Drosophila melanogaster: one gene and its partners. The gene in region 1 interacts genetically with each later gene. Each region holds a gene or a part of one and is shown on either strand. Other genes may lie near its edges.

What was found.
Region 2: of Bsg (region 1) and mys, changing one enhances a phenotype caused by changing the other (phenotypic enhancement), as found in Drosophila melanogaster (2 studies listed by BioGRID).
Region 3: of Bsg (region 1) and ND-42, changing one suppresses a phenotype caused by changing the other (phenotypic suppression), as found in Drosophila melanogaster (one study listed by BioGRID).

What each region holds. Positions count from the first base shown.
Region 1 is NT_033779.5:8,086,248-8,090,381, reverse strand, and holds the start of Bsg (basigin), read right to left. Parts: upstream 2,079-4,134; 5' UTR 1,866-2,078; intron 1,773-1,865; exon of another isoform or gene 1,677-1,772; intron 1,280-1,676; exon of another isoform or gene 989-1,279; 5' UTR 719-988; coding exon 646-718; intron 1-645.
Region 2 is NC_004354.4:8,059,683-8,063,816, reverse strand, and holds the start of mys (myospheroid), read right to left. Parts: upstream 2,173-4,134; 5' UTR 2,092-2,172; exon of another isoform or gene 1,737-2,091; intron 1-1,736. UniProt on the Drosophila melanogaster protein: Integrin alpha-PS1/beta-PS is a receptor for laminin. Integrin alpha-PS2/beta-PS is a receptor for Tig, wb and Ten-m. Contributes to endodermal integrity and adhesion between the midgut epithelium and the surrounding visceral muscle.
Region 3 is NT_033777.3:22,025,490-22,029,623, forward strand, and holds ND-42 (NADH dehydrogenase (ubiquinone) 42 kDa subunit), read left to right. Parts: upstream 1-2,219; 5' UTR 2,220-2,531; coding exon 2,532-3,659; intron 3,660-3,726; coding exon 3,727-3,822; 3' UTR 3,823-3,904; downstream 3,905-4,134. Other genes in the region: Cchl (cytochrome c heme lyase), read right to left, coding at 646-901, 959-1,548. UniProt on the Drosophila melanogaster protein: Accessory subunit of the mitochondrial membrane respiratory chain NADH dehydrogenase (Complex I), that is believed not to be involved in catalysis. Complex I functions in the transfer of electrons from NADH to the respiratory chain.

The DNA of each region.
Region 1 (4,134 bases):
GTGGCTAAAGGACCAGCAAAGTGCCCCTTTCTGAGATCCCCTAATTTGAAGAATTATCGATACATTTCTCCGATAACTTTACCATTGATTTAAGTCGCCTCGTATTAATACTGTTTGTTTCCATTATTGCGGCTAGGGTCTGGCTTTAGGGTGAACTTGGAAGGGGTAAAAGTCAGGTGGTGGGTGGACGAACACCCTCGCCCTTTGGTGGGTGCACTTTTGTTTTGGGTGGCGGGGCAATTAGGGGGCGTGGGATAAGGTTAGTGGGTGTTACAGTAAGCCACAAACAATCTGCTGTTTTTTATTTATTCCCTTCCTCCTCTTGCTCCACCTCTTTGTTTTGCTTTGTTCGGTTCGGTTGTGTTCTGTTTTGCAATTTCTGCTATCACAGCTGCAGTTTAACCATACTTTCCCCCATATACATATGTATGTATATTTTTTGTATTCCTTTATACTGGGCTGCTACGTACATAGGTGTGTTAATATTATATGTGTGTATGGGTGGGTGTGTGGTTGGGGCAGGGTGATTTTATGGGCGGGGTACAACTTATAGGTTAAAAGGGCCTTCTTTGTTTATCATTATGCTTATTGTAGGGGGTTCATTCTTTTAGATTTAGAGGGGTTTTTTCGGGGGGCTGTACTCACCAAGTGATTGAGCATAAATCGCTAAAAATATCGAGAGGAATGAAAGAGCGCTAGCCAAGAATTTTGCCTCCATCTTTGGTATTGATCCGTTGTTGTTGTTGGTTGTTGTTAATTATGCTGCCGATGTGTGGTTGTTGTTGTTGGCGGTGACTTGTTGTTGTTGTCGTTTTCGTTATTTCCTTGTCATTTGCATTTATTACAGATTTGTGAATTTACTCCGTTTAATGATTGATTAATTATTTGTGGCTGTTGGTTGGTTGGTTGTTGATGTTGTTGTTGGTTGTGGTGTTTCTTTTTCTTTGCTTTTCTTATTTTTTTTTTTTTGTACTTTAAGCTTAACTTACTAAATCATTATGGTAAATATTAATTTATAAATAGATCTTTAAATGTATACGTTATTAGGCTTAGTTATTTAATTTGATATTAGTTGATGCTGTTGATGTTGTTGGTTGGTTGTTTGCTTTGGATCTTCCGTTTGGTGTTTTGCTTGAGTGCGAATTTTTCTATTTTTTGGCTCTTCCAGCTTTCCTATTTTGTTCTTAATTCATGAAGCTATATTCGCAAATAAAAATATTTAAGAAAATTTCTCATTTTGCATTTATTTTCGTATGAAGGCAAACTTTTCGTGCGCTTCCCCGTATTCTTTTTGTTGTGTTTTTCGTTCGGTTTTATTTGTATGCTTTTTTCCAACAACAAAGGCAAAAGGAAAGACGAGTGAGAGAAAACTTTTTAAAATTATACATCAATATTCAAATTAAGAAGAGATTGTGGAGAGGAGCGGAATCAAGGATACAAAAACAAATCGAAAAGATCAAAATCAAAACGAAAGCCGAACGAACAACATTCAACATTCAGCTAAATGTATAATTTTTCAAATGTCACATTTAATTTTTTTTTGTTTTATTTTCACTGCAGCTAAGCACGTGCTGTTCACATAAGTGGGGCGGCGGGTGGTTGGGTTTTTCTTTTAGCCCGCTAATTTAACGTTAACTTTTGCAGTTCTTTTTTCACACGCACTCACACAAACGCACATCTAACTTTTCCCAGTCCAAAAGTTCTATTTTTTTGCTGGCTAAGCAGAAAAAAGAAATTATGGCACGTTGACGACGAAAATACTATTTTTCTGGCTAGCCAACGAGCAAAAGAGAGGGAGATAGAGTGAAAGCAAGAGAAAGAGAGTGAGGGATTCTTGAGACTGAGAGCAAATAATTATGTTTTACACAAGGAGCGCAACAATTTCTAGCTGCTTTTTAGCCAATGGCCATTGTTGTTGCTGCACGTACTTGTACTAGTGTAGTTGTTGTTTCTGTTTGGCTGTTCTTGCACAACGGGAACACAAAAAGCAAACGAAATTTGGCAAACGGACGGGCCAAAACGAGGCAAACAGAACAGAGCGAACAGAGCGAACGCGGCGAATTCAGCGAGCAGACTGAATCGCACACATGACCAACGGACGAGAGTAGCCGCCTTCGCTGCGGCAGCGACGTCGACGCACAGTGATTTGGGTTCAGTTTGACATACACTTGTCAGCTTATCTAAATAGTTCGGCCGTTATCTTGACCAGACCGATTACGAGTACTGTACAAAATGGCGAAAAATAAATCGAGTTTAAACGACATTTTTTCATTATACAGGAATCTTTAGGAATTTGAAATCACCTGTTTTATTTAAAACAAAATGCAGAAGCTAGGTCTGACTTCAAGCTACTAAATTAGCTAGAAACTTAAAAAAAATTTTAAAACCATAAATTGAGTTATTAATCAATATTTGCTCTTGGAAACCTTATCTTACAGTTCAATAGGAATTTCCCAAATTGACGGAATTACAATGTACTTGTGCTCGTATGGGCCTGAAAGTACGCTACTTTTATTCACTTTTCTCTCAGCCTATAGAAGCACTTAAGGAACAGTATCAAACAAATTGCAATCGAGCAATGATTCAACAAAAATCACCAAGTGACAGAGTCTGCGAGTAATTACGACCAATTATTTGACGATCGAAGAAAAATAGCATTCCATTTGCTTCACCGCATGACGTCCGCATAAAAGCTGATAACAATTGGCCCGAGATCTATTATTACTTCTAGAATTTCGTATTGCGGATGTGTCGAGAAAACAACTATTCCCACTCTTATCAATGCGGGAGGACAGTCACCGAGTAAGCAGAATAGATAAGAAAAAAAAAAGGGTAGAAGCTATCACCAGAGCTGGCCGATTTCATTATCCATGAACATTAGCTTTAAAATTCCTCAACTGACGAAAGGCATCAATGTTTGAAAAACAGCTAAAATAATAAACCTTACATAAGAATTAAAATTCTTACTCGTTTCTATTTCCCCCCAAAATAAAAGCCATAAAACACGTAAACATTTTTGAAAGCAATTGTGTTATACAAGGAAACAGCTCAAAAAAAACTAGTCAAAATAAATTCTCAAACTTTTGGCAATAAAACCGTCGAACGGACAACGCTAAATCATAGTGCGCTGGATTTTTTGTTTACCGCCAGACGACGTGCGGCCCTCAGCAGAGCAGATAGAACGCCAGTTGAAATGTTTCCGTAACGTGTCACGAATCCGACTCTCATTCTATCGCATTAAGATAAAGCCCCAATGCAGTACTTTGAACAAATACGGGACTCCGTCCGTCCGTCCGTATCACCAACACCAATACTACCGCAACCAAAAACCACACCAACGTCTTGGCCACATGATATAATACCGTAGCCGGAGCATGGTCGACAACGACGTCAGATGTCCGCGGCCCAGTCGCCGAGTCCCAAAGACCCAGACCACCAGACCGTCCAAACTGACCGCCTCTGGTCCATTGCCGTCCCGCTCGCACTGCCGCTCTGGTTTCGGGCGGTTCTATGCGGTTCGCACACGAATGTAGATCTCCATCTTTTCGGAAGGCAGGGAACTTTGCTAATTCGGCATGGGTGTTGGAAAGGTAGGGGTTTTTTGCGGGTTGGCGGCATCGAGGGGGGTTGTCTCGTCGCATTTATTATTGGTCAGCCGTATTTATTTTTACAAATTTGCGAGAGCAAATATGAAATCAGCTGTTCGCATTGCCCGCTGAGATTAAAGCGATCAGGGGGGTATATAGTATTTGATGAGGTGTTTCCAACAACCAAACCATAGAGAACATTTTGCAATGCTTGCAATGAGTTCATAAATAATAAAGAAGCAAGAAGAGTCATAGGACTTGTAGTTGACAATAGAAGTACTAATAATTGACAAATTTTCCAAAGTTCTTGCCAGTTGATAAAGCGAAAAATCTATTACTCATAATTGACGTGTTCGCACAAAATAAAACTGTCGACAGATAATGTGATTGATGAAATATTTAATATACTATGTACTGCATTGGCCACTATGCCTTTATAACTAATAATCTTGAAATTTAGAGATTATAGTGAAATTTATCAAAAAACGACCACATGGTTCATGGCGTTTACGTGTTAGACTTTCAATTTAGGTATTATTATTATTCC
Region 2 (4,134 bases), on another chromosome or scaffold:
TTGTTGGATTTAGCACTAGATGTTAAGTAAGGGGCAGAAATTATTATAAAAGCCATTCCTGGTTCACTTATATTTCTAATGCTACATATTTTATATTATTTTTTTTTATATGCCTTAATCTTTCATTTATTTTTAAGACACAATTTGATTTCTTCGATTTCGCTGCAATTTTTACGAACGCCGGTGTACGTAAAAGTCCAGCTGCTGACTGCACTGCTTGTCGAGCACTGCTTTCTCCGCGTGCCCTGCTTTTTTCTTTATTGCAACAACAAACAACAGCAAATGGCCGCACATCTGTCCCCTTTTTTTGTTGTTTCTTTCGCTCTACCTTAATGTTTAATTTTATTTTCTCATCAACTTGGCCAGATGACTCATCTCACAAACACACACACACACCAAGCGATTGATGTACGAACTTGTGTGTGGGTGTGCGTGCCTGCGTGCTTTTGTTGTTTTTTTTTGTTGGCCTCCGAAAAGAAAAGGAAAAAAGCGGAAGGAAGAGAGCTTTCGATAAACGTCAAATGCAATGCGAATTACTCATTCGAGCACGTTCCGTTAGCACGCTCTCTCGCTCTCTTGGCTCCTGGCAAAATGTAAACAAAGGCCGAACGAACAATGAGTGGTCATTGAGTCAGCTTCGCTGGGTTTCCTTTCCGCCTAAAGCCACATGAATCACTCACTCCAAGCCACTCAAGACTCAAATCAAAATTCCATATGCACGGAACGGAAAAAAAAGGGCTGCAGATTACGTATACGTATGGGTGTTGTGTTGGTCGGCTATTTTTAAACGCCCACGCACACACAACACAACGAACACTAACACACCACAGAGCTTGATTTGCAGCAGATCGTGTGCCGAAAGGAAAACAAACTAAAAACGACTAAGCCCATGTTTATATACCCTTGGATTGAATAATTTCATTCGATTATCATTTATACACCCAGTCACAGCATATCAAAGTTATGAGTTGTGCACTTAGTAGTAGTTTTAATCAGTTTTTTAGCTAGCAAATTCGTAATACTATAAACCGCCTGAGTAAACAGCATCTGCAGCGCATAGTTTCAACCACGGATGGACGCCCACAGCCATTGGGCCAAAAACGAGGCACATCTGGGCCGCCCACATGTGGGCGTACTGGTTAAACCAGCGGCGCGCAGAGGATTTCATTTTTTTTATTGTTTTTTTTTTGATAGCTTTGGTAAAATTGGTTTTTACTTCCAGTTACAGTTGGTTTCAAATTCGGTTGGCTGTTTATAAAGTGGACAATTACCCCGAAAATCTGGGCAATCCCCTGACAAACACAAATTCCTGCTGCTGCCACTGAGCTCTTGATTTTTGTACGCTCTTTTCGCTTCTGCCTACGTACTCTACTCGATTTTTAGTTCGAGTGCAAGATCTCCGGGGTGGGGAAGTTGCACTGAAAAGGGAGGGGGCGTAATCAGCAATTGGCGTCGCGAAGTCGCCGATATGCACACTCAAAGAAATAAATAAATATGATGAATAATAATAACAAAAAAAATGAAACGAGTGAATGTATCGTGAGGATTCATTATTTTTTTTAGCTCAACAAACAACCCACACACAGATACGGCGTTCGGTGTGTGCGTGCCTGTGTGTCGTCACTGCGAATGAAATCATCGAAAAAAGAGGAGATAAAAGTAGCGCTTCGATATTGCTTCCTCTTTTTTTGGGCAAATGCAGCCCGGAATCCATTGATTTCTTACGTAATACCCACTATTTCACCCGCTATCTGATTAATCGCAGCACTTTGGCTTAACTTTCGCTGCGTTTTCGCTGATAATTCGCGATATTAATTTCCATCAGGGCGGCACTTTTCTTATTTTGATTTGCCTTCTCGCACACTTGTGGAGTTCCCACTCACACGCACACACTCGCACACTAAACACTAGCACTGTGCACACACGCAGTTATTACAATTACTTGCCACCGTTATTCGCTAGATCAGCGAATTTAACTCTTATCGGGTGACACGAAAAACCAAAAAAAAAAATACAATTCGACTGCAGAAGCAGCAGCTGAAGGCCGCCAATTGGTGTCGGGAATTGGATTTGGATTAAATTAATATTTACTGCTTTGCTTTGTCCGCGGATCTGGTCTGTTGTTCAGTGTTACCAGATGGTGTCAGCAGGGGGTGGAACAACAGTCAATGTTCTTTCGATATTTGCCATCCGATGTTCGCCAGTGTTGTTAAATAGCTCTGGTCACACCGAGCCTAGGAACAGTGTTGCACAGTTTTGGAGGACTGTGTCTCCGCTAAAAGAGACATTTGTGCTCGCAAACACAATCCGATAAGTAATCGAGAAACACGTAAAGGAACTCTGGTTATCGGAGTCACTTATTGCACGATAGTTTCAGACAAAAACGCCTGCTTATATCGATGACAGCCTTGTTTTTGTTGCGCTTACGTTACGAAATTAATGTAAAGTAGCCGACGAATCTACGTTCTACCAGTATAAATGGATTAAAACTAACAACAGCATAAGTGTAAACTGCTGGTGAATTTCCCAAATAGCCATATGAAAAAGCTAAAAGTACGTGCAAATGGTTGAGAAAAGGAGAGAACGAAAGCCACTATGAGTTTGCGAGAGTATGTGTGACTACTTTGCTCTCTGGCTCTCTCTATCACACACACTCGCACAGAACGCTCTTCTCACATGCTCTCTCTCGGCCGGTAGCTCTAGCTGTCCCGCTCTCGATTTATCAATAAAAGCAGTGCGTTAGAGCGGCATAGCCGCATGTACCAAGCGCGTGCGCCTCGTGCCCGTCGGCTGTCCATGTGTGCGTGTGTATTCGCATTTTCAGTAATTTCGAAAAAAAATTTTGTATATTTGATGGCGACTCAGAAGAAACTCGCGCGTTTGTCGAAAAATCGTAGCGCGTACGTATATATCGGTGTGTAGAAATTACTAAAAATTGTGGTAAAAAATGGCAAAAATTATATAAATTTGTGTTCGAAGTGGAGTGCTAATTGCGGGGGATCAGATGCGAATGGAAAAATGTTGAAATTTATAAGATTTTAGCGCCAAAAAATGCATTTGAAAAATGTGAGACTTCAATGGACATGACAAATTTTTTTTTTCATTTTTTTCGGTGGTGGAACAAAAGCGAACGAAAGAGGAGCAAGAAGCAGAAACGTTCGTCAGTGTGTGTGCGTGTGTGTGTCGAGTGAGGGGGCATGAGCATGAACGTGTGTAGTCACCAAGTGAATAATATTAACAAATAAAAGAAGAAAAAACGAAAAAAGAGGAATACACACGCAGAAGCGCGCGAAAAGTTTCACTCGAAATGAGAAAAAACAAAAGCAAAATATACTAGCGCTAGTTGATTTTCGCTAGCAAAAAGAAACCGACGTGCACATTGAAAATCTATAATTTTGTCGATTTTGTTATTGTATTTTTTGATTTTGCGGTTTTGCGGCGCCGTCGGTAACGTTAGCATACCGTTACGTGGCCTACGTAGCGTGGTGACGTACAGAAGACGCTTACGTTGTGGGTTACGTTACATTTGTCGCTGGGGATTTTACTCTTTCTCCCTCTCTTTACGCCACACTCATTCTCTGGCGCGCGCAAATCCAAAAATCTCGAGAAAAAAAATAGTGCCCGATGTGACCAATATTTTTTGTTTTTATTTTTACAGTTGCAACTTTTTAACAATCGTGTACAATCTGTATGTTGTATATGTTCAATTCAAAATTCAGCAACAATAGCAACAACGCAATTCAGCAACAACAACAAACAAAACCGACAAGCTAAACTTGGCTAAGACAAAATCAACATCCAGCGGCAGCGCGGCCATAAACAAAGCCAAAATCAAAAGTCATTCGGATATATACATATATTCGCCCATAATAGCGAATAAACAGTAACAGAACGAGTGGATTTAACGAAACAACAAAAAGAAAAGAAGAACGATAAAATCCAAAGGAAAAGTAAGTTTAAAAAGTGCAGCGCACGTGGCGTTTACCCCCGCCTCCTCCACCACTAGCCGCCCACCTTCGCACAGTGGAAAACGACACAAGAGCGCGCCTCTTCGGTTTGCCCCAAGGACACTTTGCATTTTCTGCTAGTTTTCGAGTATTTGCTTAGGGGTCAGCAACCCGGCAAAATGGAGGG
Region 3 (4,134 bases), on another chromosome or scaffold:
CACCAGCAATCAGTTAAAGAATTTACACGCGCTTTTCAACACTGCCAGACATTAACCCCCTGAAGCCGCAGGTGTTAGAAAAGCATCATACATATAAACATACATATAATGTTATGGGTTGCATATCAACTTTTTATCAGAAAATGTATGTTAAAAAAGTTAAGAAACGTCTAAAGTTATATTCTATTTACTATACATTTTTTAAATTTGTAGTAATGATAAAAAAGTAGTAAACGTATTTTTATAATTTCGCAATCATTTTAAAGAGCATATAAATAAAATATAAAACTAAAGATTAAGAAAAAAAATTTTTACAGGCATTTTGAACAGATGAGAATTCTGCATATACATAAGTATATCAATAAAAAAAAACTTTAATTAATATATTCCTCCACAATGCTATCAACTCGTTACTGGATAATTCGAAATCCTTAAAAGGATTTAAGTAAAGAATAAAATAAAAAGCAAAACCACATTCGAATTTTGGTGTTCAGAAGTCAAGATTCAACATTTATTTAAAGAGAGGGCTCAACATCGTTTCGCTTCGCAGCGTCTTAAACGCATTTAACCAAACTCCCTCTTCCATCCATTCGATAACTTAAGCCGATTTTGTACCTATAGCGATCATCTAAATATGCATTCCATCTAGTCGCTACCAGCGGTCACTTTGCCGCCATCCGCGCTGCCAAACTTCTCAAACAGCTCGTACTTCCAGCGCATGTAAGCTACGCGCATTCTGTCCCAAACGTTGTCCACGGAGTCCATGGCTGGGCGCACATCCAGCAGGGCAAAGCGGTAGTCTTTGTCCACCAGTCCACCGTCGTAGTAGTCGATGACGTAGCGCACATCCTTGCCGCAGCGATCGACTATCCAGTCATGCCTATCGAATGGCAGCTCGTATCTGTAAGACAATTCGAACATTAATTCAGGTGAGATCTTCCGTCTGGAGTATACTCACCCCAGCCAGCTGCGGAATCGAGCGCGCGGACTGAAGTCCTTGGCCTTGCCACCGAAACTCTTGAGGCGCGGATTGCCGCATTCCTTGGCGTGAAGCGCCTCCCACTTAAGTACCTCCTGCCAGGCCTGCTCGTTGTTGGCATTGTGGATGCGTATGATGTCGCCCATGTCCTTTTGCGATACGTCCTCGGTCTTCCAGCGCCAGCCCTTGCGTAGCATGGCGTTCCAGAACATCTGTTGGCTGGGATACTGCCAGAATTGAACGCTGCCATCCTCGGTGACTTTGGGAATGGTCGACGTCTGGCGGTCGGTGGGCAGTGGAAAGGGCTGATCTGCCGCCGGCTGTTGGTTTGCCGGTGGCATCATATTCAGCGGATTAACGTCGCTGTTGTCGTGCTGCACCGGACATTCGGAAGCGGCCTGCATCTTGGGATGTGGGGGTACGGCGGAGGCCGATTTTGCATCTCCATGCTTCTGATGCATGGGGCATTCTGGTGGCGGGGCACCACTGCCGCTCATGTACTTGGCGTGGTCCACCGGCACACTCTTCGTGGCCTCCATTTGCACTCGGGTGATGGCTGTATTGCCCATTTCTGCTGGGGATTGGTTAATAACAAAATCTGTGTCACGAGGAAAATCGCATTAGTTCTCAGTTGCGTAACTGTAAGGAGTGGGTTACACTCCCAGTGCTGGGCCCCAACGCCAGGACTTACTCGATCCTAATGGTCACAACTCTCGATATTTGTCGATCTTCTCCTGGAGCCTTTCGCCTTAAATTTTGATTTATATTTTCGTTAGTTCATCGTTAGAACTTTTGAGCCCAAAATGCAGCGAGGTTGTGGTCAGGGCTGCCAGACCAACGGAAAGTGGACCAGTTGTTTCTGCACCGTGACAATATGTTAAGTTAAAAATTTAAAAAATCAACTCGCACCGCACGGCAATGTGAGTTTATGGTGTGTGTCTGTCTACAAATGAAAAGCATTGTTGAATTTATTTCAAGTAAATTAACTTGTAGTTAAACACCCCAGCTGTGCTGTGTAGTGTTGAGCAGTCGCTTTGCGATATTTTTAAAAAGTAAAACAAATACATTTATACATTAAAATGTTATTTTGTAAGTGTTATATAAAGTTTTTAAAATACTGGGTTAAATTTCATTTCATATGAAATTCTTTCTGATTCTGAGAAAAGTCGCAGTTAAAGCATAGACAAACATTTTGATTTTACATTTTTGATATTTGAACGGATACCTTGACAGCCCTATTCGGGGAGTTTTCCAACACCAACCATAGCCCGAAATTTGTTTTTGGGTAGACTTCCGATATTTAGATTGAAAAGTGAGTAAATACCACCGGATAGAGCATTAAAACCGACAATTTGGGTAAATCTATGGAGCGCCGCAATGCTGGCCAGCAGAATGCAACGAAAAGATCCGCATATCTGCAGTTCTAGGGCAGAGATTACCGCACTACCTGCGTAGCTCCTGTGATGTAACCACACGACAAATTGCCACTGGACGAGATATAATTGTTATTATCTTGTTTCGTTTTTGTACTGACCCTTGTTTTCCCTTCAGAATGACCGCCGTGTTCCGCGTAGGACTGGTGCGGCTCGTCAGCCGCGCCACACAGTCGCCCAATCTACTCCAGGCGCAGACGAATGCCCTGCCTGCTGCCTTCCAGCAGCGATGCAGCATCTCCGGCAAGACGATGCGAGGTGGACCACGGGTGCCCAAGGCCGCCCCCTATCCGTACAAGACGAAGAAGTACAGCGTGTTCAATGCTATTTTCGACAAGACCTCCAAGCGTTTTGACGAGAACTCCAAGGTGATCTGTGTGGAGGGACCCATCGCGGCCGGCAAGTCAAAGTTCGCCAAGGAACTGGCTGAGGAGCTGGACATGGAGTACTATCCGGCAGTTGATCTGGACCTAATCTACATCAATTCGTACGGCTATGACATGAGGAAGTTGGATCCTCAGTTGCCGCCCAGCTGCCGAAGCTACGATGTGCGCAACTTCTGCCTGGATCCCAGCCACGATCTGGCTGCCCAGTTCCAGATTCGCATGTACATGCTGCGCTATTCGCAGTACATTGATGCCCTGCAGCACGTCCTTAGCACCGGCCAGGGTGTTGTCCTCGAGCGCAGCCCCTACTCGGACTTTGTCTTCATGGAGGCCATGTTTCGGCAGGGTTATCTGTCACGCGGTGCGCGTTCCGTGTATAATGAGCTCCGACAGAACACCATCGGGGAGCTGCTGAAGCCGCATTTGGTTATCTACTTGGATCTGCCGGTCGATGCCGTGAAGAAGCAGATCAAGGCACGCAATGTGGACTACGAGGTGCAGTCAAAGGTGTTCAGCGATGCCTACTTGAGCGATTTGGAGCAGCTGTACAAGCAGCAGTACCTCAAGGACATCTCCACCCATGCCGAGCTGCTCATCTACGACTGGACAGCCGGCGGTGAGACTGAGGTTGTGGTGGAGGATATCGAACGCATCGACTTCAACCAGTTTGAGGCCGATATTCACAACAAGAAGATGCTCGACTGGCGTTTCCCGCTGGAGGCCGAGTGGTGCGAAGCCCGTATCAAGTACTGCCATGAGAAGCCCGATCTGATGAATTACTTCAATGTGCCGCGTTTCGATGTCCCGGAGCTGGTGCGCAGCGCTGACGACGGCAAAGTCTGGCGTGATGTCTGGTTCAATGTAAGTTCGGTGTTTCCATTTCCCTGTTCGATTTCTTTTCACATTAATTCTGCCCCTTTGCACACAGGCTCCCGGCATGAAGTACCGTCCTGGCTACAATGCAGACATGGGCGACGAGGGTCTCCTCACCAAGACGAAAATAGGCATCAACCAGGGCATCTAGAGGGTTTTTGCTATGCTTTCGAGTTGAAATCACCTGGCGAAATGTGTTAATTATCTAATAAACAGTCTAGTAAAATAATCAGAACCCAATTAGTTAAAAAGCGAATATGGTAAATATCGATTGTAAATACTTTTCATACAACAAAACTCGAACTATTGGGTTTATTTATACTTTTTTTTTAACATAAATTTCGAATTCAGCTTAATCATGAATACCCAAACATATTTCGATCCTCTCCAGTTTCATTGATCAACCAGAGATTAATTTTTTGAAATTTTAAGTTAATTTATGCATTATATTAGGGAATACTTT